Anolis sagrei: one gene and its partners. The protein of the gene in region 3 purifies or fractionates together with the protein of the main gene of each other region. This does not show direct contact. Links are inferred from orthologs where the notes say so. Each region holds a gene or a part of one and is shown on either strand. Other genes may lie near its edges.

Region 1 (8,176 bases), about 48 Mb from region 3:
TCTCTTTTGCTGTCCACTGACATTCCATTTTCATTTCTTAAGCTGAGAGTAAAGTAACTGCTTTGGGAGATGGTGATCAGGCATTCGGATGATGTATTCTGCTTAGCGAAGTTGATGGCAGAGAATCATCACTTCAGTGTTGATGGTCTTTGCTTCTTCCCAAACACTGATGTTTGTCCGTCTGTCTTCCCAAGAGATTTGTAGGATTTTTCAAAGGCAATGCTGACGGAATCTTTCCAGAAGTAAAGAGTGATGTTTGTAGATGGTACATGTTTCGCAGATACACAACAGCCCTCATCCTCTACTGCACAGATAGTAAGGGATGGACCCAGCACCCAGCCCTATAGAACGTCATTGAAGACTTCCTTCTACTTCAAAGAACAGACATGGATTGTGACTTTTTGAACATAGTTTTCCAACCAATCACAGCTCCATTTCACAGTGTTTACATTTATTCCACATTCAATCAGTTCTCTAACTAAATAATCATGAAGAAATGTATAAAATGCATTGTTGAATTCCAGATAAGACATCTAGGGCAGTAGTTCTCAGCCTGTGGGTCCCCAGATGTTTTGGCCTTCAACTTCCAAAAATCCTTACAGCTGGTAAACTGGCTGGGATTTCTGGGAGTTGTAGGCCAAAACACCTGGGGACCTAGATCATTCTAGAGCATTCCTAACACCTAGTGAACTAGTGACCAGATCAAAACGAGTATGATTAATTTGGCTAAATTTGCTCTCAACAAACCCATGATAGCTCTCAGTAATCATGCAGAGTCATACAAACCCTTGCAAACAGACTCCTTTATAATCAATTCATTTTTTTTCTCCTGATAGTGCAGTCATGCTGAGTGGTTTGCAGTTCCCTGGATTTTTTTCAACCTCTTTTGAAGAGAGGCACAATGTTTGCTCTTCTCCAGTCCTCTGGCACCTCTGTTCTTCAACATTTCTCAATCTTTCAAAATAAATTATACGAGGAACCTGTATTTTTTCCAAAATACAGTGTTCCCTCAGTACTCTGCAGTTTGCTTCCTGTGGACTCACTGTTTCACGGTTTTTCCAAAAAAAAATTAATTTAAAATACAAGTCCTGAGGGAACACTATATACACAGATCTATAAACCCCACTTGCCGAAGTAGCGCTGGTGAGAGGTACGGAGAGGGACGCCAAGGCAGCTTCCACCGGGGCTTCTTCTTCTTTCTTCTGAGGTGGAGAAGGCCACCGCCAAGGCAGCTTCCATCACGGCTTCTTCCTGGTCGCTCTTCCTCGGGTGACCAGGTGAGAGCCCCATGCCAGTGGGGAAGCGGGGGGGGGGGGGAAGAAGGGTGGCTCCAGCAAAGGGATGGGCAGGGAAGGAGGAAGAGAGGGGGAAAGAGGAGAGGAAGAGAAAGAGAGAGGAGGGGGGGGGAGAGTAAGTGGAGCGATACTGTACATATACAGTATAGCATCCCTACATCGTGGTTTTTGGACATATTCTTTGCTGACCACATTTTTCACATGTCCGTGTTTGATATTGTTTGGCTGTAGTGTGCCCAGATATTTATAGGCTTCAGGCTGATTGCACTTTATGGTTTGTCTATTTAGCATCTCTATGCCTGTGATATCGAGCTCTTTTGGGAGGGACTTCCCAGCGGGGAAGATCCCTGGAGATCGCAAAAGGGATCTTTGACCTTGGTGAGCTGCCAGCAAAAGCCAATCCAAAGCGCAAAATATTAAGAATTAATCCCACCAGAGGCTGAAGAGGTATCCAGTGACCGAAGCGTTTATTTAGCGATTCAGCTGAAAAGGATGCATTACAGGGATATTTCCTCTATAAGCATGCAGTACAGTGAATTTCAGGTATATTTATACAGGCAAAACAAAGAAATCCTGGTTTGAATCTCCCGCCCGCCTCCTGTCAGTTCCCTCTGTCCTGATTGGCCGGCTCCAGAACAGCTGGGAGGAGGCTTGGCCGCTGGTCCCGCCTTCCCTCCAATCGCCGGCCGCTGTCGCTTCCAGGGGGCCAATCAGAGCCCTTGGAGCGCCTCCGGAGACTGTCCAATCAGCGGCCAGGAGGCGGGACGTATCTTGACAGCGCAGAGGGGCGGATTTGCCTGGAGGCGTCCGCCAGCTGATTGAACACCTTTTGTTCTTCGCACGGCAGGGAGGCGGAAGGGGAGACAAGGGATTTCCTGGGTTCCGATAAAGGATGTGTATAGGAAAAAAAAGGGTGGCTATGGGTGGTGTCTGGATCTCAACCCTGTGGCGAAGGGAGTCCTTTGTCACAGGGGAGCGTACACAAAACACCATGATTGATTTAATCAGTCTGTTTTTCCGGGCCTTTTGGCTGACAGATTTCTGGCTTTTGTTCGTCTGACTCTGAAAACAAAGCCATAGATCTGCCAGTCTTTGTCCATGCAATGTAAATATGAATGGAGTTTCTTCCAAGGAAATTGGATTTCCTTAACTGTAATCCCAGGTCACATACTTTAGTAGGGTAAAGTTCAGAGGGAGAAAAGGTGGGGGAGAGGGTCAGGGTACATTTCATAGATTTCATATTTTTCCATATCATATACATTCTTCATAAACTTTCATAAGCTCATAGATTTCATAAAGGGGGGTCCCCATCCCATCCCCATCCCCATCCCAGCAAAGTTTATTAGAAGCAACAACAATTGGCAAAAGCAATTCATCAGAGTTCCTGAGGTATGATCTGCTTGGCAAGGACACACACACACAGGCGGGGGCCATTCTCCCCAAGCGGCTTGGCCTTGAGTTCGTAGAGGAAGTTCGTGATAATAGGACATCAAGTCAATCAGTGAGGGCAGAAAGGTCCGCAAAGAGTCTAAAATGGTGGAGAGTGGGGCAATGTCCTTTGGGGAACTGCATTTCCCTGATCAGGGGCCAGGGTCCAGTGCACAAGCCAGAGAATTCACAGAGAGGAAACAGGAACCCAGTTATGTGTGCTGGGTCAGGAAGCAGCAGAATCCATTTTCCGGCCCTTGGTGAACTACAAATACTTGGGGGGGAAGATGCTCTGCATCACCTGCACTGTTAGGTGATATTAGGCTTTAATTCGATATTAGGTTTTAATGTATTTTCATATATGTTGGAATTCAAACTGAGTCCCATCAGGAAGATAGACGAAATACAAAAAAAGTTTATTGTTATTGTTATTATTATTATTATTAAGGTAAAGGTTTCCCCTGAAATTAAGTCTAATCGTGTCCGACTTCGGGGGGTTGGTGCTCATCTCCATTTCTAAGGCAAAGCCAGTGTTGTCCGTAGACACCTTCAAGGTCATGTAGCCGGCATAACTGCATGGAGTACCTTACCTATCTACCTACTAGACTGGAATAAGCTGGGCCTAACAGTAGAGCTCACACCGCTCCTCGGATTCGAACCGCCAACCTTTCAGTCAGCAAGTTCAGCAGCTCAACGGTTTAATGTGCTGTGCCACCAGGGGGCCCTATTATTATTTTTATTATTATTATTATTATTATTATAACATAATAGTACACAGCAAACAAGATCACTACGCTGACTTTTGTTTTTGTTCACACTTCGGACACTTCCCAAGTGTCTAGGACTGTGTGATGCATTGTCGCATAATGCATGCAGATCTGAATTGGGTGGCCTTTTGCAGCTGACAGATCGTAATTTTGTCAGTGCCAATTGTTTTTAAGTGCAGGTCAAGGTCTTTAGGCACTGCGCCCAGTGAGCTGATCACCAATGGGACCACCTTTACTGGTTTGTGCCAGAGTCTTTGCAGTTCGATCTTTAAATCCTTACATTGTGTCACTTTTTCTAGTTGCTACTTGTCAATCCTGCTGTCACCTGGTACTGCAACATCAATGATTCATACTTGTTTTTTTCCCACGATCGTAAGGTCAGGAGAATTGTGCTCCAAAACTCTGTCAGACTGAATTCGGAAGTCCCAGAGTAATTTGACGTGTTCATTTTCCGTAATTTTTTCAGGCTTGTGATCCCACCAGTTCTTTGTTGCAGGCAGATGGTATTTGTGGCACAAGTTTCCTATGGACCATCTGAGTAATGCCTCTGCTTGTAGTCCGTCTGCACAATCTTCTTGCGGCAGCTGAGGATGTGATCCATTGTTTCGTCTGCTTCCTTGCAGAATCTACACTTGGAATCAGTGGTAGACTTTTCAATTCTGTCTTTGATGGCACTGGTTCTAATGGCTTGTTCTTGGGCTGCAATAATAATAATAATAATAATAATAATAAAGCCATTCTGGCTCTTTTGGAACTTATGGAAGGAACTCCATACTGATGTCAGTGCTGAAGATTCTGACCATGTTGGTCAGTGACTGGATTTTCAGTAACTGCCTTACTGTTGTTGTTTTTTTGTATCCGAAACTGCAAGTCGCTTCTGGTCTGAGATGATTGGCCGTCTGCAAGGACGTTGCCCAGGGGACGCGCTGATGTTTTTGATGTTTTACTGTCCTTATGGGAGGCTTCTCTCATATCCCCACATGGGGAGCTGGAGCTGACAGAGGGCGCACATCCATGCATTATTGTTGTTGTTGTTGTTGTTATTGTTGTTGTTGTATGGAGCCCCCGGTGGTTAAACCCCTGTGCTGGCAGGACTGAAGACCGACAGGTCGCGGGTTCGAATCCGGAGGAGGCGGATGAGTTTCCTCTATCAGCTCCAGCTCCTCATGCGGGAACATGAGAGAAGCCTCCCACAAGGATGATAAAAACATCAGTTCATCTGGGCGTCCCCTGGGGAACGTCCTTGCAGACGGCCAATTCTCTGACACCAGAAGCGACTTGCAGTTTCTCAAGTCGCTCCTGACACGACAAAAAAAATGTTGTTATTCTGCGAGTCGCAAAACAGCGCCCTCTGGCGGCAGCTGCGCTCCCTGCAATCGCGCCGCCTATTCCTCCCTGAGGCTCCCCCTCCTATTGGCCGCACTGGCTTTGGCGCCCTATTTCGCTCATGCCGGGCCGAACCAAAATCCTACCGAACGGGGAGGCAGAGATGGTGCTTTATTAGCTTCGATTTTAAATAAAGGGCAGTCACCACAAGTACAGCAACCACTTCGTCTTTTGGGAAGGTCTGACCCGTTTCCTCTGCCTCTTTCCGAGGCTTTTGCTGCGTTTTCGCCAACGATCCTCCCCTCTTTTCCTTTGCAGAGTGGTACGTTCCACAGCGAACGGGAGGGGGAGGCTTTGCCGCCATTTTGTTCTCGGTGGGCGCAGTGACGGGGAGGAGGGAGCTTTTCGCCGCCGCCATGTATATCAAGCAGGTAGGAGGCCCTCAGGTTGTGAGGGGGAGGCTTTTTTTTTCTTTGGAAACAATAAAGGACGGTTGGGAAGAATTCATGGCTGCAAAGCGAGGGACTGGTGGGGTAAAAAAAAAAGGGGGGCTGGGGGTGTTGAGGCGACGAAAGCCAGGCCCTGAGACTCAGTTGAGGCCCTCGTTCTCTGTAGAATGACAGCATCAGCAGGGGATTCAGCCTCACCGGCGGGCCTTGTTTACTTTCTGTGGTAAAATGAAGTGGTAAACAAGAAAAGTTGAGGCCTCGGCTGGTTGATCTTTTATTTTATCTCCCACAATAACCTAAAGTTTCCAAAATGTAATGAACATTGGGAGGGGAGTGGGACGACGACGGCGACACGCAGGCCTCATCTACACTACCATGCGATGCAGTTCGGTGTAGTTAAACGATTATATGAGTCTGCACTGACCATATAACGTAGTTTCATACTGCATTATATGGCATTGCAGATTAGGCTTCATCTGATGCTTGTTGGTGCTGGCTGAGGGCCCTTCCACACAGCCCTATATCTCAGAATATCAAGGCAGGAACTCCCACATTATCTGAGTGTGGGCTCAGATAACCCAATTCAAAGCGGATATTGTAGGATTTTCTGCCTTGATGTTCTGGGATATAGGACTGTGGAAGGGCCCTGAGTGTGGACTTAGATAACCCCCAGGATCCTTCCACACAGCCCTATATCCCAGAATATCAAGGCAGAAAATCCCACATTATCTGGGGCCCTTCCACACAGCCCTATATCTCAGAATATCAAGGCAAAAAATCTCAGTTATCTGGGGGGCCTTCCACACAGCCCTATATCCTAGAATATCAAGGCAGAAAATCCCACATTATCTGAGTGTAGACCCAGATAACCCAGTTCAAAGCAAATAATTGCAGGATTTTCTGCCTTGGTATTCTGGGATATAGGACTGTGGAAGGGCCCCGAGTGTGGACTCAGATAACCCAGGGTCCTTCCACACAGCCCTATATCCCAGAATATCAAGGCAGAAAATCCCACATTATCTGAGTGTGGACTCAGATAACCCAGTTCAAAGCAGATAATGTGGGATTTTCTGCCTTGATATTCTGGGACAGGGGTCCTCAAACTAAGGCCCAGGGGCCGGATATGACCCTCCAAGGTCATTTACCCGGCCCTCGCTCAGGGTCAACCTAAGTCTGAAACAACTTGAAAGCACACAATAACAACAATCGTATCTCATCAGCCAAAAGCAGGCCCACACTTCCCATTGAAACACTCATAAGTTTATATTTGTTAACATTGGTCTTCAAAGGAGTGGATTATAATAAAAAATGAATTCCTATGCACACTGCACATATCTTATTTGTAGTGCAAAAAACATTTAAAAACAATATAATATAACCAGAAATTAAATAATAACATAACCTGTCAATTAATTTACATCTAACGTAAAAAATAAATATAAATGTATATAAAACCTCAAGTTAACATTCATTTAAATTAGTTATTAAAATCATTATGCGACCAATAAAATCAACAGAGCCAACAGAACCAATATCTGCTTTAAACTGGATTATCAGAGTCCACACTGCCATATAATCCAGTTCAATGTGGATTTTATACAGATGTGTGGAAGGGGCCTGAGTCTCCACTGCCAGATAATCTGGGATAAGAGGATAATCTGTGATCAGATTCTGGAGTATAGGGGCATTGTGAAAGGCACCAGAGGCCAGAGTATTTCTTGTCCAGAATGCTTAGGATCCAGAGTTAATATACCACTATATAACCCATGCATTTCGACACCACTTTAACAGCTGTGGCACAGTGCTATGCAATCATTGGAGTTTCAGTGTTATAAGGTCTTTGTAAGTCTTCTCATCAAACTATGAATCCTAGAATACTGGAGCATTGATCCATGCGAGTTAAATGGGTGTCAAATTGCAGTAATTCTGCAGTATAGATGCTTTTGTACCATGCTTTCCCCTTCTAGAAGATTAAAATAACTCTGAAGCTTTAGTTAAAAATCATGAGTTTTAATCTAAAAACACTGATATATCAAGACTTTCTGTCTCAACTACAGCTGAAATCTCATTCTGAAGATTTTGTTAAAAACCGAATTTAACATTTAATCTTAACGAGATTGCACACTCATAGTTTTGCTTCACCTGTTCTTGAAGGCTGCATAATGAAAGTGCAGGAAGCAGGCTACCATCACAACGTGGTACCTGGTAATTGTATTGTTTTTGTACGTACTGTGGAAATGATAGAAATGAATATAGCAAATTTACTTCTTATCCTTTTTGAGACATTGTACTTTTGAAAGCTGTAGTTGATAATAAATTGTATTTATGAAAGTTTATTTAACATAAATGTGTTTATTTCAGGTGATCATCCAAGGATTTCGCAGCTACAGAGATCAGACTATAGTAGATCCTTTCAGTTCAAAGCATAATGTCATTGGTAAGTTCCTGTAATACAAAGGCTTATGCAGCATTTAAGTATAACTTTTAGAGATGAAATTGACATTTGATATATTTCTTCCTATTCAGAATGAAACTGATTGCTTTTTCTTATCTGATTGCTTTTTCTTATCTGGCACATTTGTTGTTATTTTTAATGTTACATAATTTCATGGGTTAGTGCCCCTAGATCAGGGGTCCACAAACTTTTTAAACAGAGGGCCAGGTCACAGTCCCTCAAACTGTATATTTGAAAAAAAATGAATAAATTCTTATGCACACTGCACATATCTTATTTGTAGTGCAAAATCACTTAAAAACAATACAATAATTAAAATGAAGAACAATCTTAACAAATATAAACTTGTTAGCATTTCAATGGGAAATGTGGGTCTGCTTTTGGCTGATGAGATAGGATTGTTGTTGTTATGTGCTTTCAAGTCATTTCAGACTTAGGTTGACCCTGAGCGAGGGC
Region 2 (7,439 bases), on a different chromosome or scaffold from region 3:
GACTCAAACAATGATGGATCTGGACCAAACTTGGCACAAATATTCCATATGCCCAAATATGAACACCGATGGAGTTTGGGGAAAATACACATTGACATTTGGGATTTGTAGTTACTGGGATTTATAGTTCATCTGCAATCAAAGAGCATTCTGAATCCCACAAACAACAGAACTGGGGCAAATTTCCCACACAGAATCCCCATGAGCAACAGAAAATACTTAAGACCATCCAGTCCAACTCTCTTCACCAGGACAAGAAAATGTAATCAGAGCCCTCCTGACAAAGAGCCATCCAGTCATAAATATAGATAGATATGATTCACACACACAGATATAGTACAGATACAGATATAGTATCATAGATTTCAAAGGGACCCCTAAAGAAGGACTATGATATATTGCATATTCAAGAGTAGTCAAACCAGACAATCTCCACATCAACACTGACAAAGAAACAACAAGAAATACTGTTTACCCAAAAGCACTTACATACATTACAAAATTACATACATTAGAAACCAATGCTTTCTCATTACTTTATTTTCCACATCACCAGACTGGGCCACAGCAACGCGTGGCAGGGGACGGCTAGTCTATATAAATAAAAATATAATGTTCGTTTATGGGATTAACATAACTCAAAAACCACTGGACAAATTGCCACCAAATTTGGCCACAAGACACCTACTAACGCAAGGAATGATCATCACTCTAAAATTGTCATATAAAATCCAGGTTATCCATTTTGAACTTGATTATATGGTAGTGTAGACTCACATAATCCAGTTCTGTGGATTATCTGCTTTGATAATCTGGATTATATGGCAGTGTAGAAGTACCTGAAGCTTTCTCTCCAATTCTTGCTTCCACAACAAGCCACATTTTTCAAAATCCAATTATCACAGAGACAGAAAGTGAGGGGCAATCTTTTGAACAGGGGCACAGACAGCAAAACAAACACCCTTCCCTATGCTATCCAAAGCAAATGGACTGGAGTTTCATTTTAAAAAATGTACCTGTTCTGACTTACATACAAATTCAACTTAAGAACAAACCTACAGAATTTATCTTGTCCGTAACTCAAGGACTGTATGTATACTAATCTATTTTAATGTTTACTATACTAAATGCTTGTAGTTGTCCAGAGTCTCAAGCAAAATACTTTTAAAGTCACACCACAGAGATGGGCCACCTGAAACCATCCATAAACATTTAGTGATTTTTCACATGCATCTTATATGTCTAGTGCTTGAAAATAACTGAGTGCATTATATTTTAAAATAAATGTTGTTCATGAAATAGCACATTATCAATTGGAGCATTTTGAATTTCAGAATTCCAATTAAAGGGTAATCAGCCTTATATTATGGCCCCTTCTACACTGCCATATAAAATCCAGATTATCTGCTTTGAACTGGATTACATGGCAGTGTAGACTCATCATTATATAATATATATATATGAGGGTTGAATGAAAAGTAATGCCTCCACCTTTGTTACTTGGGTTTGGATGGGAATATTTTAATAAATCAAATGCAGAAATAATCCTTAGAATGTGCTCTTTAGCTACCACTATTCACTTTTCCACATAATCACCAGACCATTGGATACATTTCTGCCAACAATGAACAATTTTTCTGAAGCCATCATGGAAGAAGTCGACACTTTGTTTCCGAGACCCATCCTGCACAGATCTTCCGATAGCCAAGCAAAGCAATAATGTGACCCACACGTTCTTGTGAAATGCCGATTATGCTTGAGATTTCTCTCTGAGTGATACGACGATTGTCCTTAATCAATCTGTCAACCTTTTGCTTGCTGTCACAGGACGTCCAACTCTTTGTTTGTCACGCAAGTCAGATGTTCCCACCTCAAAATCTTTAAACTCACTCGCCCAATGATGCACAGTACTCACATCAACACAACCACCATAAACAGCTTGCATTCTCTGATTAATCTCCTTTGGGGTGACACCTTCTGCTGTCAAGAATTCAATGACTGCACGTTGCTTAAGTCGCATTGACCGACCATCTGCACAGGGTTCCATACTTTGCACTTTAACAACACAACCATTCAATGCTAAGGCTTCCCGCCAAAATGGAACTGTAGAGGAGAGTCTACTGAACAAGCCAGTACCTGCCGCATACCAGTACTGCCATCTGTTGAAGAGTTTCGAAGGTGGAGGCATTACTTTTAATTCAACCCTCGTATTTCTCCCTACTCCTAGATGGAATCTAGAGCTTCAGACATTATAAGCACCACATAAGTAGTATCTGCAAAAATATACCCTTATTCCTTGGAGGGAGGATTTCCTTCAAAGCATCTATTTGTTTCTCAAAAACTAATTTACATGGCTCATAATCCTCTGTGTTAAAAGAAACATATTTTGGTACCTAATCAAACAATCCAGTTCAGATCAGATAATCTGGATTATATGGCAGCGTAAAAGGGGCCTCAGTGACTATCCACAATGTGATGAGTCACTTTAACTGCCATGGCTCCATTCTATTGAATCCTGGGATTCGTTTCTTGTTGTGGCACCAGAGCCCTCTGACCCCTTCCACACAGCTGTATGAAATCCACATTGAACTGGATTATATGGCCGTGTGAACTCAGATAATCCAGTTCAAAGCAGATACTGTAGATTATCTGCCCTGATATTCTTGATTATATGACTGTGTGGAAGGGAAGGGGAAGTATCTCACAAAACTACAAATCCCAGAATCCCATAGCATTTATTTATTTATTTATTCACGACATTTATACGCCGCCCTTCTCACCCCGAAGGGGACTCAGAGCGGCTTACAAGCAAAAAATAAATACATTATATTATATTATTACCATAGCACAATATTAATATTACTAGCCGTCCCCTGCCAAGTGTTGCTGTGGCCCACATGAGGGTTCTGTGTGGGAGGTTTGGCCCAATTCTATCGTTGGTGGGGTTCAGAATGCTCTTTGACTGTAGGTGAACTATAAATACCAGCAACTACAACTCCCAAATGTTAAGATTCTATTTTCCCTAATTGGGCATATTGAGTATTCATGTAAAGTTTATTTATTTATTTAAAAGTTTTCTATACCGATCTTCTCATCTCCAAGAGGGACTCAGATCCGGTTCACAACATGTGTTCGTATACAAAAATACAAACCACACAATGTATTATCATTACACAATTAAAAACATATTACAATACAACACCGTCATCATCACACTTACACAGCCACATCGTCAAAACATTCCTGGTCATAATTCACAAAGTTTGGTCCAGATCCATCACTGTTTGAGTTCACAGTGATCTCTGGATGTAGGTGAATTACAACTCCAAAACCAAAGGACACTGCCCACCAAACCCTTCCAGTATTTTCTGTTGGTCATGGGAGTTCTGTGTGCCAAGTTTGGTTCAATTCCATCATTGGTGGGGTTCAGAAAGCTCTTTGAGTGTAGGTGAACTATAAATCCCAGCAACTACAACTCCCAAATGACAAAATCATGTTTTTGAGTGAGGGACATACATTGGGTTGTTAGGTGTCTTGTGTCCAAATTTTGTGTCAATTCATCCAGTGGGTTTTGAGTTCTGTTAATCCCACAAACAAACATTACATTATATATATATAACATTGTACTATAACATTATACTGTAATATTAGTAATATTACATTTAATATAAAATATATAATTATCATATTATTAGTAGTATTATATTGTATTACATTATAATATTATCATTATTATATGTATATACAATATATTATATTATTGAGCCATGGCAGTTAATAAGATGCTATAATTCCGCCTCTGGACTGAGACTCCCAGCATCTCTCAACAGGCCAGGGCTGCTGGGCTTTGTAGTGCCATAAAGTGTAGGCAACCTGATCAGAGGCCCCTTCCTCTGCACGACCCGACTCGCCTGATGCTCACCTTTCCTAGACGGCGCTTGCTTTCTGGTTGCTGTGACAACGAGCCACTTTAAATGATGTCATCTTTGGAAAGGGCTCATTGGCTGCGCTCGAACCTATCAGCACAGTGAGAAGTTCGGAGTAGGCGGAGCTTGCCGCAGGAAGGAGGTCCCCTGCTGAGCTGAGGCGGAAAAGGGGAGGAGCTCCGAATGCAAATTTTACGCGGCAGCGGCATCCTATCAGCGACCGCGATGTCGTAAGAGGCGGAGCCTAAAGTGAGCCGTAATCAACTCTCGCGAGGTTTCAAGACTCCCGCCCTTCTCGTGGACGGCGGCCGAGAGTAGTAATCAAGAGGGGCCTACGGGGCCTTGTGTCCCCCACCGCGCCCCGTAGTTTTGCTTTGCGTCCACCTTTTCTATCTCCCCCCCGTTTCCCCAACCCGCGGAATGGGGTTCCTCAAGCTGATCGAGATCGAGAATTTCAAATCGTACAAAGGGCGGCAAATCATCGGGCCCTTCCAGAGCTTCACGGCCATCATCGGGCCCAATGGATCCGGTAAGGCGGGCCTCCCCGGGATCTAAGGACACAACACCGAATCGCATGGCATTTCAGGGAAGGGTAGAGTAGGGAGCATGTCCAGATAACCCAGGGTCCTACCACATCCATTTGAAATCCAGATTATCTTATTTGAACTGGATTATAGGGCAGTGTGGACTTGTATAATCCAGTTCAAAGCAGATAATATGGATTTTAAACAGCTGTGTAGAAGGGGCCTAAGAGTCAAATGCTCAGTCACACTACTCAGTACCTGTAGACTGAGGGTCCTTCCAGGCAGGCCCTTTATTCCAGGCTTTCTGTTTATCCCAGATTATCTGGCAGTGCAGATGATATTGAGCCTGAATTTGGGAGAGTCTCCCCGGTAGAAGAGACTCCTAGGACTGCACCAAAGAGAGTCCCTTGTCCTTGGCGAGCCGTCAGAAGAAGCCTGATTCCAGCAATTTTATTGATATTAATAATTGAAATGAGACTCTTGCCAAGGTGAAGAAGTGGCACCGAGGTTTATTAGCGATTCAGCTGAAGCGGATGCAATTGCAGTGATCATTCACATGCAAGCATACCAATACATTGATCAGAGGCATATTTATAGCAAAATACAGATTTGAAAGTTTCAAAACTCCCTCCCTCTTCGGCTCCTTAGCAAATCAGGGAGAGGGAGGCAGGACGGAAGAGGGGCATTGTGTCCAGAGAGGATGATGACATTCCACTGTCCTTTGCCCGAGGGATCAGCCAGCCAAGGAAACCAGTTTTTTTGTTCTTGTGATGGATCAGTGATTAGGGATAATCATTTGATTCAGGTTTTCCCCTTCCAGGATCAGATAAGGTGTGTTGGTTTTGATAGGTTTTTGGATGAAACAAACAGAGCAGGGCAAGAAGACCCCTGGGGCCAGTCTCGCCCCTTTGTGATTAAATTAAAATGTGATCAGAGAAATTCCCTGTTTACCAGGCCAACTCAGAAAAAAATAAACAAAGAATTTCCAGTTGCTATTGTACATGCAAATGTCTGTGATAAGGTTGGTTTCGAGGGAACAACAGCCCCCTCAGGCACTGAGTGGTTTTTCCTGGTCGCCTTTTTTTGGGCAAGGGTAAAGGGGGCAAAAGGTATTTCATAGCAAGATACATACATTCAAATCATAAGCATTTCATAGCAACAAAACCCCATCTTTGTCCCACATCCCAAATATATTTAATAAGAGGATTAATTTTCATGAAGAAGCCTGAAGTCCAATGTTTTAAAAGGTCTTTGAGGAAAGTTCATGAGGGAGATAGTATGTACTGAAGTCCAAGACATGCAGGCAGAGAGTCCATGATCATTGGGAAGGCTAGCAGATGAAACCCCAGCTGTGCTGCAACTGATTCACACTTTGGTCCTTGGGAAACTACGACTCTCACGAAGGGCAGAAGTCCCAAGATCCAGCCGTTTCCCAAAAGCCTCGTGGGGTCCTTGTTGTTGTCAGTGCCTTGGCAATGTGACCAAGACTTAACCCCTTACTGTGCAGTCTGGTGCGCTTGCCCTTTGCAGGGCTACAAGTCACCATCCCCCATTCTGGGGGGGGGGGGGGTGCTCGGCTTCACAGACTCGTATAATTCAGTTCAAAGCAGAAAACGTGGGATCCGATCCTGGAAGGGACCTGAGTCTACCCTGCCATATAATCCAATTCAAAGCAGATAATCTGGATTTTATTTGGCAGTATAGAAGGGGCCTTCGTCTTCTTCTGATTTCTTGACTGCAGCGCGTTCTGTTTAATGAGTGAGGCAAAGTATAGAACTATTTCAGTGTTTTTTTAATTTTTAATTTATTTATTTTATTAATCGAATTTATATACCACCACTCCCTGAAGGCTCGGAGCGGTTTACAACATACATATGCAATACATTACATTATTATTATTATTATTATTATTATTATTATTAATTTTATTTGTACCTCACTAGCATCTCCCGAAGGACTCGATGTGGCTTACACAGGCAAAGGCCTCAATAAAAACATAGCATAACAAAATACACAACTTAAAACAAATCAAAGCAATTAAAGCAATATCAAACAACAAAACAATAAAACAATATACCAAAACACAAGAAAACAGGGCCGGGCCAATGTAATGGGTACAGGTTAAAATGAGTACAGGCTGATGTGGCAGGTGGTATATCAGATTTTAGGGTAAGTGCAGTGTGCGGGCAATCTTAAACTCTAATAAAGTGCTTCTGGGACATGTTACTGGAGTTTTCCTATTCTGGAAAGGCACATCGGAACAGCCAGGTCTTCAAGTTCTTCCTAAAGACTACCAAGGTAGGGGCCTGTCTGATATCTTTAGGGAGGGAGTTCCAGAGTCAGGGGGCTACCACAGAAAAGGCCCTGTCTCGCGTCCCCACCAGACATGCCTGCGACGCAGGTGGGATCGTGAGCAGGGCCTCTCCGGATGAACGAAGAGAACGTGTAGGTTCATAAACAGAGATGCGGTCACGTAGGTAGGATGGTCCCAAACCATTTAGGGCTGTGTAGGTAAGCACCTGCACCTTAAATTGGGCTTGGAAAATAAACAGCAGCCAATGGAGCTCCTTGAACATTTAAAAACAAAGAAAATAATTCAATCAATCAGTTTGTCTAACTTTAAAGTTATGAAGGTTATCTGTGGTCATTATTTTTGTTTTCTTATGTTCAACTGTAAACTAACATTTGCATTTGCTTCCTTTACCTTCTTCAGTAATAATTCGGAGTCTTTATTATTCGTTGCTAAAATCTTGAGACTAAGAAACTGTGACAATGAAAACATCAACATAATATTGATAACATGGTTTCAATTTGTTCTGTCTTTGCTGTATCTAACCAGGGAAATCAAACCTCATGGATGCTATCAGCTTTGTGCTTGGTGAGAAGACCAGTAATTTGAGAGTGAAGACCTTAAGGGACTTGATCCATGGGGCTCCTGTGGGAAAGCCAGCTGCCAACCGGGCATTTGTCAGCATGGTCTATTCTGAAG
Region 3 (8,068 bases):
GTCTCACCCTATGAACCATCAAGGACTTTAAGATCATCTGGGGAGGCCCTGCTCTCAGTCCTGCCACCATCGCAGTCATGTTTGGTGGGGATGAAAGACAGGGCCTTCTCCGTGGTGGCCCCTCAGCTGTGTAACTCTCCCTAAAGAGGTTAGATCTGCCCCCTCCCTCCTGACTTTTCGCAAGACATTTAAGATGTGGCTGTGGGAGCAAGCATTCGCAGAATAGATGGTTTTAATTGGCTTAGATGAGATTGTATGGACCACATTTTTTGGACTGGTTTGGAGCACGCTTTAAACTTGGCAAACCGTTTTTAAATGTATATTTATTACCATTTTATGTAATTGTGTATTTTATTGGTGTTTTTATATTGTTGGAAGCCACCCTGAGTCCCTATTCGGAGGTCGTGAATAGGACGGGATACAAATGTTCTAAATAAACAAACAAACACATACATAAATACTGTAAATAAATAAATATGCAAACTGAAATACAGATTATTTCTGGTCCAGGTAATTCAAATAAGGGATACTCAACCTACACCTGTTTTCCCCCCAAAAGTGGATGTGGAAATTATTCAAACCATTAGAGGGCAGCATTTATTCAACCTCAAAGGCCACCTATTCTTATTTAGCGATGAATAGAACTTCAGTTCAGAATGTATCAAGCTGTACAATCTAAATATGGAAGAAATAAAAAGCAATATTTGGCACATCCTCTAGAAATGGAAGAGTATTTTGTTTCAGTTCATTGTTCTGATCAGAATTTATGAGCATCTGGATGTTAGAAAAAGCAGAACTGACTTGGTACTGAGTGTCCTTTGACACTACATCCATTGCACTGCAATTCCATTTTCACGGATGCATTCTATGGAATTTTAAATTACAAATCTCAGACCTCTCCTGGAACAACTTTGTGTCCAGTTCTGGGCACCGCAATTTCAGAAGGAACAAGCCGGAACGTGTCCAGAGAAAGGCAACCAAAGTGGCAAAAGTTCTGGAAGACAAGTCCTGTGAGGAGCAGTTTAGGGAACTGGGAATGTTTAGTTTGGAGAAAAGGTTGAGAAGGGACAAGAGATCCATGTTACAATATTTGAAGGGGAAAAACTTATTTTCTGCTGCTCTTGAGACAAAGGGCCTTTCCAGACAGGCCCTGTATCCCAGGATCTGATCCCAGGATTTCTGTTTATCCCAGATTATCTGGCAGTGTGGACTCATATAATCCAGTTTAAAGCAGAAAACCTGGGATCAGATCCTGGGATATAGGGCTTGTCTGGAAGGGCCCTAGGACACAAAGCAATGGATTCAAACATCAGCAGAAGAGATGCCACCTAAACATTAGGAAGTTTGCAGATGACACCAAATTGGGAGGGATAGCCAATACTCCAGAGGACAGGAGCAGGATTCAAAACGATCTTGACAGATTAGAGAGATGGGCCAAAACTAACAAAATGAAGTTCAACAGGGACAAATGTAAGATACTCCACTTTGGCAGGAAAAACGAGATGCAAAGATACAGAATGGGGGACAACAAGTTAAACATGAGCCAACAATGTGATGTGGCGGCATCTCTCAGGGGTGATTTGAATGCAATATTCCTGCTTCTTGGCAGGGGGTTGGACTGGATGGCCCATGAGGTCTCTTCCAACTCTTCGATTCTATGATTCTATGAACTGGAGGGCTTGCTAGGGAGATGTCTACTCAAGTTTTTTAAAAACCCAAATATTCATGTTTTGTTGGTTTTTTACTTTCCTGGGGGCCCTGTTCCCCAATCTCAGCAAATATGGTGGGATCACTGTACATTTAGAAACTACAACTTCCAGCATTTCCCATTCTGAAAATGCCAGCTGAAGTCTCATGGTTCTCAAGCAGGGAGAAAAAAGCCCAGCACAAGAAGGAAGGCTGGTTCATGTAAGGTTCAGATACCAAACAGGTACCTGAGCCATCCTTCTGGCATTAACAGTAACTCCTATTCAACGTGACAGCTGCCATTTCTGATATTTTTCTCTCATTGTCCCTATTGTCTGCTTTATCACATTTTCTTCTTAGCAAAATGTCTCTTTGAGGCCTACTCTTCCCTCCTGGCATCTCACTTTCTGCTGCAAGTGAACGGCCCATAAAGGAAGGAGATGACATTGATGATGCCCATAAGTACCACATGGCCTTGCCCTTGTGCCATAGGGTTGGCTTTCCAGCATGAGATTCAGAATTTTCTAATTCAAAAGAAAAATGAAAAGGTGGACAGAACTACAATATTTCTTTTCAGTATCATATCTCAAATACCTCTCCTGCTGTGCTTTGTCGTTCTGTGAGCAAGCGTGCTTATTTATTTTGGGAGGAGTGTGATGGAGTTGTTTTAGCATTGAATGAAATCCATTGGGTGATCATGGGGAGGTCACATTCTCTCAGCCTCAAGAGGAAAAGGTAAAGCTTTCCCCTGACATTAAGTCTAGCTGTGTCCGACTCTGGGGGGTGGTGCTCATCTCCATTTCTAAGCTGGCATTGTCCGTAGACACCTCCAAGGTCATGTGGCCAACATGATTGCATGGAGCTCCATTACCTTCCAGCAGAAGTGGTACCTATTGATCTAATCACATTTATAAGTTTTCGAACTGCTTGGTTGGCAGAAACTGGGGCTAACATTGGGGTGGGGGGTGTCTTCTCCGACTGCCATTCCCAGAACCCTCCAAACTGAATCCCCTGTTGTGGGATGGGCAATCTGACAAGGCATGGTTAGCTTGTAGACTCCGATAAGCCAACAATGTGATGCAGCAGCAAAAAAGCCAATGATGATTTTGGCCTGCATCAATAGGAGTATAGTGTCTAGATGCAGGGAAGTCATGCTACCCATGCTCTATTCTGCCTTGGTCACACCACACCTGGAATCACACTGTGTCCAATTCTGGGCACCACAATTGAAGAGAGATATTGACAAGCTGGAATGTGTCCAGAGGAGGGTGACTAAAATAAAAGGGTCTGGAGAACAAGCCCTATGAGGAGCGGCTTCAAGAGCTGGGCATGTTTAACCTGCAGAAGGCTGAGAGGAGACATGATGAAGGCCATAGTTCAATATGTGAGGGGAAGTCATAGGTAGGAGGGAGCAAGCTTGTTTTCTGCTGCCCTGGAGACTAGGATATGGAACAATGGCTTCAAACTACAAGAGAGGAGATTCCACCTGAACATGAGGAAGAACTTCCTTACTGTAAGAGCTGTTCAGCAGTGGAACTCTCTGCCCTGGAGTGTGGTAGAGGCTCCTTCTTTGGAGGCTTTTAAACAGAGGCTGGATGGCCATCTGTTGGTGGTGCTTTGAATGCAATTTTCCTGCATTTTGGCAGTGGGTTGGACCAGATGGCCCATGAGGTCTCTTCCAACTCTAGGATTCTATGCTCCATATGTATATCCCTGTCTGTAAGTTCTTGTTTTGTGAGGAATTGTGAGAAATAAATAATCTTTACAGGATAGATGAGATTGTGGAACTCTCCTGGTCACAGTGAATGCTTTTGACGCAGACTATTTATTTATTTATTTACTTCATTTATATACCGCTTTTCTCAGCCCTCAGGTGACTACTGAGACCGACATTGATTTTACTTCTTTCTATAGGAATCAACGAGTGCATAATGTGAGTTTGAATCCCTGGGCCCATGAGATTGCATAGCAAAAATAAAGGGCCAGCATGCAAATAGCATCGATTTTGAATTTGCAGGGGTATCTGATGTGATCCGAGTTTGATGGCAAGCAGGGGCGGTTCAACCCATTACGCAAAGCAAGCATTCGCAGTATAGTTGATTTTGCCCAGGGGTGATCTTGAGGCGCTCTTGGGGGGAAATAGACCTTGACATATGCGAGTTGTAGTTACTGGGATGTATAGTCAGAAGCAGCCGTAGGTAATTTTCAATGGTAAGCAAACAGTATTTTGGTGCCCCCCCCCCCCAAACCAATCATTGATATATATTTTCTGCTCGTCATGGGATTTGGTTGTGCCATATTTGGTTCAATTCCATCATTGGAATTCCACCAGAATGCTCTTCAATTTGATTTTAGATTTTAGGTGAACTATACATCCCAGTAACTACAACTGCTCTTTGATTTTAGGTGAACTATACATCCCAGTAACTACAACTTGCATATGTCAAGGTCTATTTTCCCCCAAGAGTGCCTCAAGAGCGCCCCTGGGCAAAATCGACTATACTGCAAATGCTTACTTTGCGTAATGGGTTGAGCCGCCCCTGTGTAGAGTTCACCTACAATCAAAGAGCATTCTGAACTCCACCAATGATGGAACTGAACCAAATATGGCACACAGAACTCCCACGATGAACAGAAAATATATATATCAATGATTGGTTGGAGGATGGGGCGCCAAAATACTGTTCGCTTACCATTGAAAATTGCCTAGGGCCGCCTCTGATGGCAAGTTAAAAGAAAATGAAAGAAGACCCCCCCCCCCCCCCCGCCAAATTCTTTACTCCAGATACAGAGTCTTGATCTGGACTGCCCACAATGAGAATAAAGGGAGGGATCTGTAGTCAATGGATGGTGCTTTGAAGTCAAGACTGAACACAGTTTGATCTCAATACAGAACCTTACCTCTGGATGTGTGTGAACCAGTAACATTGGGAAACAAGCTTCAGGGATAAATACAATTGACCTCATTGGACCTTCAAACGAATAAATGTTAGTAGGAATATGAATATCAAGCAGGCATGGGCAAACTTAGGCCCTCCAGGTGTTTTGGACTTCAATTCTCACAATTCCTATCAGTCCATAGGCTCATGAGGTCTCTTCCAACTCTGGTTGCCCAGGAACGCACCCTTCCCCAGGAATGAGCCTGGGAGTGACTGGCGAGGCTTCCTCTGAGCATGTGCAGAGTGCCTCTCCCTTCCTCCTCCCTCGGGGGCCAGGAGGCAGGCTCCGAGGGCGTGGCTGGAGGAGCCTTGGCGCTTCTCTCTGGGCAGCTGCGGCTCCCTCCGTCTTCCGCCGGGTTAAAGATAGCCTCCCTCCCTCCTCCTCCTCCTCCTGCTTCTCGTCCGGCCAGGAGGGCTTTCTCTCTCTCTCTCTCTGTCTCTGTGGGGCGATGGAGCGGGCGGCACTGTTGGGGTCCGGGCGGGAGGCAGCGGTGGGCCCGGAGATCGCGGGGGACGTGGGCGAGCTCCTGGTGCCCTACATGCCCACCGTCCGGGTGCCCAAGACCGGGGACCGCGTCTACAAGGCCGAGTGCGCCTTCTCCTACGACTCGCCGGTGAGTCCCTTCCTCCCTTCCTTGCCTCCTTTGGGCTGTGGGTCCCTTGCCTTTTTCCAGAGACCCCCTCCCTCCCTTGACACTTGCTTCCAGGCCTTGGCGGGGCCACCCATTCCCCTTTCCAGGGGGTCGCATGGTACTTTCTCCTAGGACTGTCTCTCCTAATTGGCTTTTGAGAAGTGTTTGGGGTCTGGGAAAGATTTCTGCAGAGAGATCCCTTGCACATGGGTCTCACCACATTTAGCTTTTCTTTCCTTGGCTTTGCATGTTCTCTTTAGTGCTTTTGCTGTGAGTTTTCCGGGCTGTCTGGCCATGTTCCAGAAGCATTCTCTCCCCACGTTTCGCCCACACCAATGGCAAGCATCCTCAGAGGTTGTGAGGTCTGTTGGAAACTAGGCAAGTGGGGTTTATCTCTTGAGTGCTCTTGCTGTGAGTTCTTCGGGCTGTCTGGCCATGATCCAGAAGCATTCTCTCCCCACGTTTCGCCCACTCCAATGGCAAGCATCCTCAGAGGTTGTGAGGTCTGTTGGAAACTAGGCAAGTGGGGTTTATTTCTTTAGTGCTTTTGCTGTGAGTTTTCTGGGCTGTCTGGTCATGTTCCAGAAGCATTCTCTCCCCACGTTTTGCCCACAGCAATGGCAAGCATCCTCAGAGGTTGTGAGGTCTGTTGGAAACTAGGCAAGTGGGGTTTATCTCTTTAGTGCTTTTGCTGTGAGTTTTCTGGGCTGTCTGGCCATGTTCCAGAAGCATTCTCTCCCCACGTTTCGCCCACACCAATGGCAAGCATCCTCAGAGGTTGTGAGGTCTGTTGGAAACTAGGCAAGTGGGGTTTATCTCTTGAGTGCTTTTGCTGTGAGTTTTCTGGGCTGTGTGGCCATGTTCTAGAAGCATTCTCTCCCCACGTTTCGCCCACGCCAATGGCAAGCATCCTCAGAGGTTGTGAGTTCTGTTGGAAACTAGGCAAGTGGGGTTTATCTCTTTAGTGCTTTTGCTGTGAGTTTTCTGGGCTGTCTGGCCATGTTCCAGAAGCATTCTCTCCCCACGTTTCACCCACACCAATGGCAAGCATCCTCAGAGGTTGTGAGGTCTGTTGGAAACTAGGCAAGTGGGGTTTATCTCTTTAGTGCTTTTGCTGTGAGTTTTCCGGGCTGTCTGGCCATGTTCCAGAAGCATTCTCTCCCCACGTTTCGCCCACACGAATGGCAAGCATCCTCAGAGGTTGTGAGGTCTGTTGGAAACTAGGCAAGTGGGGTTTATCTCTTTAGTGCTTTTGCTGTGAGTTTTCTGGGCTGTGTGGCCATGTTCTAGAAGCATTCTCTTCCCACGTTTTGCCCACAGCAATGGCAAGCATCCTCAGAGGTTGTGAGGTCTGTTGGAAACTAGGCAAGTGGGGTTTATCTCTTTAGTGCTTTTGCTGTGAGTTTTCTGGGCTGTCTGGCCATGTTCCAGAAGCATTCTCTCCCCACGTTTCGCCCACACCAATGGCAAGCATCCTCAGAGGTTGTGAGGTCTGTTGGAAACTAGGCAAGTGGGGTTTATCTCTTTAGTGCTTTTGCTGTGAGTTTTCTGGGCTGTGTGGCCATGTTCTAGAAGCATTCTCTTCCCACGTTTTGCCCACAGCAATGGCAAGCATCCTCAGAGGTTGTGAGGTCTGTTGGAAACTAGGCAAGTGGGGTTTATCTCTTTAGTGCTTTTGCTGTGAGTTTTCTGGGCTGTCTGGCCATGTTCCAGAAGCATTCTCTCCCCACGTTTCGCCCACACCAATGGCAAGCATCCTCAGAGGTTGTGAGGTCTGTTGGAAACTAGGCAAGTGGGGTTTATCTCTTTAGTGCTTTTGCTGTGCGTTTTCTGGGCTGTCTGGCCATGTTCTAGAAGCATTCTCTCCCCACGTTTCGCCCACAGCAATGGCAAGCATCCTCAGAGGTTGTGAGGTCTGTTGGAAACTAGGCAAGTGGGGTTTATCTCTTTAGTGCTTTTGCTGTGAGTTTTCTGGGCTGTCTGGCCATGTTCCAGAAGCATTCTCTCCCCACGTTTCGCCCACAGCAATGGCAAGCATCCTCAGAGGTTGTGAGGTCTGTTGGAAACTAGGCAAGTGGGGTTTATCTCTTTAGTGCTTTTGCTGTGAGTTTTCTGGGCTGTCTGGCCATGTTCCAGAAGCATTCTCTCCCCACGTTTCGCCCACACCAATGGCAAGCATCCTCAGAGGTTGTGAGGTCTGTTGGAAACTAGGCAAGTGGGGTTTATCTCTTTAGTGCTTTTGCTGTGCGTTTTCTGGGCTGTCTGGCCATGTTCTAGAAGCATTCTCTCCCCACGTTTCGCCCACACGAATGGCAAGCATCCTCAGAGGTTGTGAGGTCTGTTGGAAACTAGGCAAGTGGGGTTTATCTCTTTAGTGCTTTTGCTGTGAGTTTTCTGGGCTGTGTGGCCATGTTCTAGAAGCATTCTCTTCCCACGTTTTGCCCACAGCAATGGCAAGCATCCTCAGAGGTTGTGAGGTCTGTTGGAAACTAGGCAAGTGGGGTTTATCTCTTTAGTGCTTTTGCTGTGAGTTTTCTGGGCTGTCTGGCCATGTTCCAGAAGCATTCTCTCCCCACGTTTCGCCCACACGAATGGCAAGCATCCTCAGAGGTTGTGAGGTCTGTTGGAAACTAGGCAAGTGGGGTTTATCTCTTTAGTGCTTTTGCTGTGAGTTTTCTGGGCTGTGTGGCCATGTTCTAGAAGCATTCTCTTCCCACGTTTTGCCCACAGCAATGGCAAGCATCCTCAGAGGTTGTGAGGTCTGTTGGAAACTAGGCAAGTGGGGTTTATCTCTTTAGTGCTTTTGCTGTG
Region 4 (7,314 bases), on a different chromosome or scaffold from region 3:
ACATTAAAAAGAACTTCCTGACTGTGAGAGCCGTTCAGCAGTGGAACTCTCTGCCCCAGAGTGTGGTGGAGGCTCCTTCTTTGGAAGCTTTTAAACAGAGGCTGAATGGCCATCTGCCAGGGGTGATTTGAATGCAATATCCCTGCTTCTTGGCAGGGGGTTGGATTGGATGACCTATGAGGGATTGGTGTAGAGAAAGGGGGATTGGTGTAGAGAAAGGGGGCGGACCTTTGGAAAAGCTGACAGGAAAAAAGTAGCGTTTTAAAATCTGGAGGCTTGTGTGTGTTAGAGGAGGGAGTTGGAGCGGATAGTTAGGAGAGAGCAGTTTTAGATTAGGAATAGCAGTGAAGAATGAGGAAGAAGTCTAACTTGGAAATAGATTCTAGATAGTTACTTCATAGGAAGGACTATAGCTAGACAGTCCCTGAGGTATTGCGCTGTTTGTAGGGAAGAATCTATTTTGAGGGGAAAATATAAATTCCCAGTTTTGAATTTGTGACTGAAACTGAAAACTGTACTATTTAATGCAACCGATAAGCTTTTTGTACCTGAAATACTTTCAAGACTGTTTAATAAACTTGTTATTCTATTTTCACACTACCACAGACTGTGTGTGAATATATTAGATAAAAATATAACCTCTCTAAAGCGAGATCGAACAGCATTGTAACATAAAGAAATGTTACTTGGTTTCCCTCAGCACTAAAAATAGAAAGTTGGCAGCATAACCAAACAGAAGAACAGTTTCAATATTTCTCAGTCATCATCCATTATACAGACAAAAACTTACACAGTTTATGTTTCTCCCTGTTAAACAAAAGTAAATAAGTAAATAAGTCTTTATAATTTGATTTGGCAGCTAGCGGGATCCATTAAGTGATCCAGGTATAATATTGGTGGCAGCATTGGTGTATCGTTTGATCTGTTGTAGGGGCAACGAAACCAGAATATTTCCCAAAAGGCAGAAGCCCCCTTTCCAATAGGGAGGGCAAGGATGGACACCACGAAAGTTGAATCCTTTAAATTGCAAAAAACTATTTATTATTGCGTGGCCATAGCAATAACGACAAACAAGCATACAGGGATGCGATCAAAGGGTTTGTCGCTGATATCGAGCTCTTTTGTGGGGCTCTCCCAGCGGGGGAGATCCCTGAAGACCGCTAAAGGGGTCTTTTGACCTCGGTGAGCAGCCAGCGAAAGCCAATCCAAAGCGCAAAATATTAAGAATTAATCTCACCAGAGGCTGAAGAGGTATCCAGTGACCGAAGCGTTTATTTCTGCAATTCAGCTGAAAAGTGATAGTTCACATACAAGCATACATTCACAGAAGTTCCAGGCATTTTTATACAGTCAGAACAAAGGCAAAACAGTTTGAAAATCCCACCCGCCCTCTGTCAGCCGGCTTCGCCCTGATTGGCTGGCCCCGGAACAGCTGGGAGGAGGCTTGGCCGCATGTCCCGCCTCTTGACCAATCAGCAAGCGTTGCTGCCTCCTAGCGCCTCCGAAGATGGTCCAATCAGCAGACAGGAGGCGGGACGAAGTTTGGCAATCCGGGGGAAATGGGATGCCCCAGGGGGCATCAGCCAGCTGTTACTGGGCCTTTGTTCTTATCGATGGAGTGGCAGACAAGGGGGACAATGGGTTTCCCCCGGCCCATGATTGGATTTGGGAGAAAATATGAAAAGGTGAAAGAAGGGGCTATTGACGGCGTTCGGACCTCAGGGGATCAACAAACACCACAAATTGAGTTAATCAATCTTTCTTCCTGAGTCTTGTTGACCCATCTCTCATCTCATTGTCTGCTCTGAAAACAAGCCTCGAGACAGAATCAATCACGGGCCCATGCAAATGTAGATATGGACTGGTTTTTGGAGGACAAAGGATTTCCTCTCTGTTGGCAGTAATCTTTGGGTCACATTCCTTTTGGGGCGAAGTTCAGAGGGAAAAGGTGGGGAGGGGAGTCAGGGTACATTTTATATGATATTCCACTATATACATTTTATATGCTTCACATACTTCATACATTTCATGAGTGAATTCCCATCCCCATCCCAGCAAAGTTTATTAGAAACAATAACAATAATAAATGCATTTCATTTTGTCGGAATCATAGTCTTCTTGGTGAAGGCGCATGTAGGCTGAGGCTGCTTGTCCTTCCAGGCAAGCCCGGTCTGAGGTTCGTGTCCAAAAGTGTGGCAGGGAAACAGTCCAAGGTAATAAGGCAGAAAGTCAATAAGTGAGGGCAAAAGAGTCCAAAGAGAATTTCCAAACTGCAAGTGGTGGGGCAATGTCCTTTGGGAAACTACATTTCCCTGATCAGGGGCCAGGGTCCATGCCTGGCCGCCTTTCCGGGACTCCTGCGAGTGGCCGCAGTGGGTCCCTGGCTGTTGGATCCAAGCGGGAGTGAGCGCTGCCGCGGAGGAGTGGAAAACCCAGTCAAATTGACAATCAGCTGTTTCTCTGCAAGATAAAATACTTAAAACAAAACTAATTTTTCCCGGGTGAAGGAGCCCAAAACGAGAAAAGGGAGATGACAGTTAGTCTTAGAATTAGTTGTAGAAAATTATAAAATTGGAACGGCGGCGATCCGCCATCTTAGGTGTTTTCGTGGATAAGGGGGTCTGAAATGGCGGTTTCTGTATCCGCTGATTGGGCGAACACAGATCCGGGGTCCGGGAGGCGCCTCCCGCGGGCTCACGGCTCTCCGGAGCCCAAAAAAAAAGGTTTATTGCAATGTTATTTTGTTAGAGTCAAGAAAGGATACAAAAGTAGCATGCGGGAAGATAAAAAGTTGCAAGTTTCAAGTACTTTTATTAGGGGAATGTTACAAGGCAGGCAGAAGGGAAAGCGAGGAAAGGCTGAGTGCAGTCTTGTTATTGAACTGCCTGTTGGAGCACATTTCACCTGTTTCTTCCAATTGTGACAACCAGGAACTGCGGAACTCTCCGCTGAAGTGCAGACCAGTCAATGGCGGGTCCCCCCCGCCATCATCGCCACCCCCAATGGGTCTGCAAAACATTTATAGTAAATGGAATATACATTTTCATTGGTTCCCAAAGACAAATCATTTCATTGGTCTAAGCTAGCTATGCAGTTGTTCATTAGTTGTTTATGATTTTGATTGACATTATAGCACACGTGGGATCCTAACAATGGCACAACTATAACATAACTATGGTCCATTGTTCTCTGACCATAACTGTATCTTATCTGTTAGTCTGTTGCAAACATGGCTCCAGAGCGACTGGGAAACTTGGGGGTTCTATCTAGCAAACAGCTAGCTGGTTTTGTCCGGATATACTGTTATCCTTGAATAGTAACTTCTTCTTTGGAGCACTGATTTCTCAAACAATCAGCATTTTCTGTGAACAAAGGCCTACTGCAGAAATAGGCCAATATGGTCGTAAATCATGACATATGGGCATTGGGGAAATATCTGAAAATTCCCTTTTAAAAACCACGTCTCCTCCATTGTGATCGATCTTTATATGGTCCCTATATAGAGTTGTCCACCACAACCTCCCAGACAAGGGATACCTCCAGGCAGCAACAGCCAGGCTTTGCAGCTGCAAGGCTACCCCTAGGAGTTCTTTTATTACAAGGCATTTAGAGTTCTCTGGCAGAGAATGCTAATAAATATTTCATAAAAGTGCAAATCCCACTCAGTGTAGGTAGCATTCAAAGAAGTGTCGAAACTGCTATCTTTCTGCAGGCTGTACAATGGCTAGGAAGGAAAAACGGAAGCGGAAACGCTGTCTGCTTGAATGTGCGGGGAACCGAAACAAAGATGGCGGAAGCGACATGCCCTCAAGTGTCATGGCGGCTCAAGACTTCCTCGCCTTTCTGTTCGCCAGCTTGCGTGAGCGTTAATGACGTCACAAAGAGGGGGAAAAAGCCTAGCCTGCGACGAGTAAGCAGTGCGCATGCGTGGCTCTGCCAAACCCCCCTACCGGGGCTTGACTAATATCGAGTCCTTAAGACTTTATAATAGGATGCCGGCCATATTTTTAATATCGTCAAATGTCCACGATCTATATCACATCTCGAGGCGGGTACTGATATGATAGGGAAACAATCCCAGGCAGGCACTAACGTAGACAGCTATATGTAGGAAACGGGGGCTTGAGCAAGGGGCTGGCTGCGCATGCGCAGTGAGGGCGAGCCTGAGACGACGGCAACACTTCCAGGAGGAACTCGCTCCGAGGCGCGAGGGAGGCGGCCGTTTCGCCCCCTTGCGACGGCTTCGTAGCCTCCTAAGACTTCGGGGAGGAAAGGGCCGTCCCGCGAGAAAGAGAAAACGCCGGGGAAGTCGGCGGCGACGAAGGCATTCCCCTCCCCCCCTCGCTGGGTGGTTGCCGCTGAAGGGACCGGAAGCGCCGCCATTTTGGAGAGGTGCGAGTTCTTAGAGCTAGGAAGGTATAGACAACCATAGGATTCACTTCCGTTTTTTTGGATTTCCCGATCTTCCTGTTCTTTCTAACAGAAATAGAAGAAGCCCGCTTTGAAGATAGAAAGGGATTTGGCTGTAGAGTTTCCTCCTATTCATGGGTCTGTGGTTGAGGTTTTCCTAACTAGGTTCGTCTGTCCCAGGTGTGTTTGCCCATGCCTGGTCTGACCGGAAGTTCCTTCTTTTGGGAGCCCTAAGCAAGGCTTTTCAGCTGGAATTAGTTCCTCTTCGGCGGGAAGGGAACAGAGGAGGGGGACAGGTAGGAGAAGAACGAATGTTGGGAGGCAATGTATACAATAAACTAGCTTAGGCATTTGGTAAGGATAAACATTCGAAAAATTAATTGCATAAGGATTTGGGTAAACTGCAGCTCCCATCATAGAATCATAGAATGCCCAAATTTGAATACTTTGAATGAGATTGGAGGGATTGATTTTTTTCATTTGGGAGTTGTAGTTGCTGGGATTTACAGTTAACCTGCAATCAAAGAGCATTCTAAACTCCACCAATGATGGAACTGAACCAAACATGGCACGCAGAGCTCCCATGATCCACAGAAAGTACTGGAAGTGTTTGGTGGGCATTGACCTTGAGTTTTGGAGTTGTAGTTCACCTACATCTAAAGAGCACTGTATCCTGAAACAATTGATGGATCCAGACCAAACTTGGCACGAATACTCCATATGCCCAAATATGGGGTTTGAGGAAAATAGACCTTGACATTTGGGAGTTGTAGTTGCTGGGATTTATTGTTCACCTACAATCAAAGATCATTCTGAACCCCACCAACAATTGGGTCAAACTTCCCACACTGAACTCCCATGACCAACAGAAAATACTGTGTTTTCTGGTGGTCTTTTGCAATCCTTCTGACACCCTTTTGCATCCCCCCCCCACAAGGTCCCGACCCCCAGGTTGAGAAATGCTGCCTTAAGGCCATCCAATCCAACTCCCTTCACCAGGGCAGGAAAAGAATAACCAATGCCCTCCTGACAAACAGACATCCAGCCATAGATATAGATAGATATAATTCACACACACACACATCCATATGTATACTAGCCATCCCCTGCCACGCGTTACTGTGGCCCAATCATAGAATCAAAGAGTTGGAAGAGACCTCATGGGCCATCCAGTCCAACCCCCTGCCAAGAAGCAGGAAAATTGCATTCAAAGCACCCCTGACAGATGGCCATCCAGCCTCTATTTCAAAACTTCCAAAGGAGGAGCCTCCACCACACTCTGGGGGGGGGGGGGTAGGGAGTTCCATTGCTGAACGGCTCTCAAAGTCAGGAAGTTCTTCCTCATGTTCAGATGGAATCTCCTTTCTTGTAGTTTGAAGCCATTGTTTCGCGTCCTAGTCTCCAAGGAAGCAGAAAACAAGCTTGCTCCGTCCTCCCTGTGGCTTCCTCTCGCGTATTTATACATGGCTATCATATCTCCTCTCAGCCTTCTCTTCTTCAGTCTAAACATGCCCAGCTCCTTAAGCCGCTCCTCATGGGGCTTGTTCTCCAGACCCTTGATCATTTTAGTCGCCCTCCTCTGGACACATTTCAGCTTGTCAATATCTCTCTTGAATTGTGGTACCCAGAATTGGACACAATATTCCAGATGTGGTCTAACCAAAGCGGAATAGAGTGGTAGCATGACTTCCCTAGATCTAGACACTATGCTCCTATTGATGCAGGCCAAAATCCCATTGGCTTTTTTTGCCGCCACATCACATGAGTCAACAATGTGATATGGCGGCAAAAAAAGCCAATTGGATTTTTGCCTGCATCAATAGCATAGTGTCTAGATCTAGAGAAATCATGCTACCCATGCTCTATTCTGCTTTGGTTAGACCACACCTGGAATATTGTGTCCAATTCTGGGCACCACAATTCAAGAGAGATATTGACAAGCGGGAATGTGTCCAGGGGAGGGTGACTAAAATGAAGAACGAATGTTGGGAAGCAATGTATACAATAAACTAGTTTAGGCATTTGGTAAGGATAAACATTCGAAAAAGTAATTGCATAAGGATTTGGGTAAACTGCAGCTCCCATCATCCTCTGGCTCGTCTTGCTGGGATGAGATTAGGAGGTACTGTTTTTCCAGCTCACCTTAAAGGGGTTGTAGTAAAACCTTTTGCTAAAACATCCAGCACTGAACCCTACTCAATTAAATAATAAATGGCCAGTTTGAAATCTCCCCATCCTGGGCAAGGTTTTGGAGAGAGTGGTAGTCTCTCAGCTCCACAGTTTCTTAGAAGATACCAATTTTCTGGAACCCTTTCAGTCTGGATACAGAACTGAAACTGCATTGGTCAACTCAGCGGATGATCTACAAAGAGAGCTAGACAGAGGGAGTGTGTCCCTGTTGGTTCACATGGACCTCTCAGCAACGTTCAGTACCATTAACCGTGGTATCCTTTCAACTGAGATGGGGCTAGGGAGCACTATTTTACATTGGCTCCGTTCTTTCCTAGAGGACCGAATGCAGAAAGTGGTGCTGGGGGATACCTGTTCAACTCTGCGGCAGGCTAGACGGCTGGCCCCCTACCTGTCCAGGGACGACCTAGCTACGGTGATCCAGGCTATGGTCATCTCAAGACTGGACTACTGTAACGCCCTCGACATTGGCCTTCCTCTGTCGGTGATCCGGAAGCTCAAGTTGGTACAAAATGCAGCTGCTCGGCTTCTTGCGGGAATTCCGATGAGATGCCACATAACACCAATCTTACTACAGCTGCATTGGTTACCAATTGAGCACCAGATCACTTTCAAAGTGATGGTACTCACCTTTAAGGCCTTGCATGGTCTGGAGCTGATGTACCTGAGGGACCACCTCACCCCCTACCAACCCCAGAGATCCTTCCGTTCTGA

The links.
Region 1: the proteins of USP13 (region 3) and SMC3 purify together in Homo sapiens (affinity purification with mass spectrometry; 4 studies listed by BioGRID and IntAct, with this or other methods). This does not show direct contact. The link is inferred for Anolis sagrei from reciprocal best matches to the Homo sapiens genes USP13 and SMC3.
Region 2: the proteins of USP13 (region 3) and SMC1A purify together in Homo sapiens (affinity purification with mass spectrometry; 5 studies listed by BioGRID and IntAct, with this or other methods). This does not show direct contact. The link is inferred for Anolis sagrei from reciprocal best matches to the Homo sapiens genes USP13 and SMC1A.
Region 4: the proteins of USP13 (region 3) and BAG6 purify together in Homo sapiens (affinity purification with western blotting; 3 studies listed by BioGRID and IntAct, with this or other methods). This does not show direct contact. The link is inferred for Anolis sagrei from reciprocal best matches to the Homo sapiens genes USP13 and BAG6.

The regions. Positions count from the first base shown.
Region 1 is NC_090023.1:209,666,166-209,674,341, reverse strand, and holds the start of SMC3 (structural maintenance of chromosomes protein 3), read left to right. Parts: upstream 1-5,142; 5' UTR 5,143-5,232; coding exon 5,233-5,247; intron 5,248-7,626; coding exon 7,627-7,702; intron 7,703-8,176. UniProt on the Homo sapiens protein: Central component of cohesin, a complex required for chromosome cohesion during the cell cycle. The cohesin complex may form a large proteinaceous ring within which sister chromatids can be trapped.
Region 2 is NC_090022.1:175,069,690-175,077,128, reverse strand, and holds the start of SMC1A (structural maintenance of chromosomes protein 1A), read left to right. Parts: upstream 1-4,192; 5' UTR 4,193-4,346; coding exon 4,347-4,455; intron 4,456-7,289; coding exon 7,290-7,439. UniProt on the Homo sapiens protein: Involved in chromosome cohesion during cell cycle and in DNA repair. Central component of cohesin complex. The cohesin complex is required for the cohesion of sister chromatids after DNA replication.
Region 3 is NC_090023.1:257,655,420-257,663,487, forward strand, and holds the start of USP13 (ubiquitin carboxyl-terminal hydrolase 13), read left to right. Parts: upstream 1-4,915; 5' UTR 4,916-5,074; coding exon 5,075-5,239; intron 5,240-8,068. UniProt on the Homo sapiens protein: Deubiquitinase that mediates deubiquitination of target proteins such as BECN1, MITF, SKP2 and USP10 and is involved in various processes such as autophagy, endoplasmic reticulum-associated degradation (ERAD), cell cycle progression or DNA damage response.
Region 4 is NC_090022.1:19,009,554-19,016,867, forward strand, and holds the start of BAG6 (large proline-rich protein BAG6), read left to right. Parts: upstream 1-4,104; 5' UTR 4,105-4,416; intron 4,417-4,603; exon of another isoform or gene 4,604-4,706; intron 4,707-7,314. UniProt on the Homo sapiens protein: ATP-independent molecular chaperone preventing the aggregation of misfolded and hydrophobic patches-containing proteins.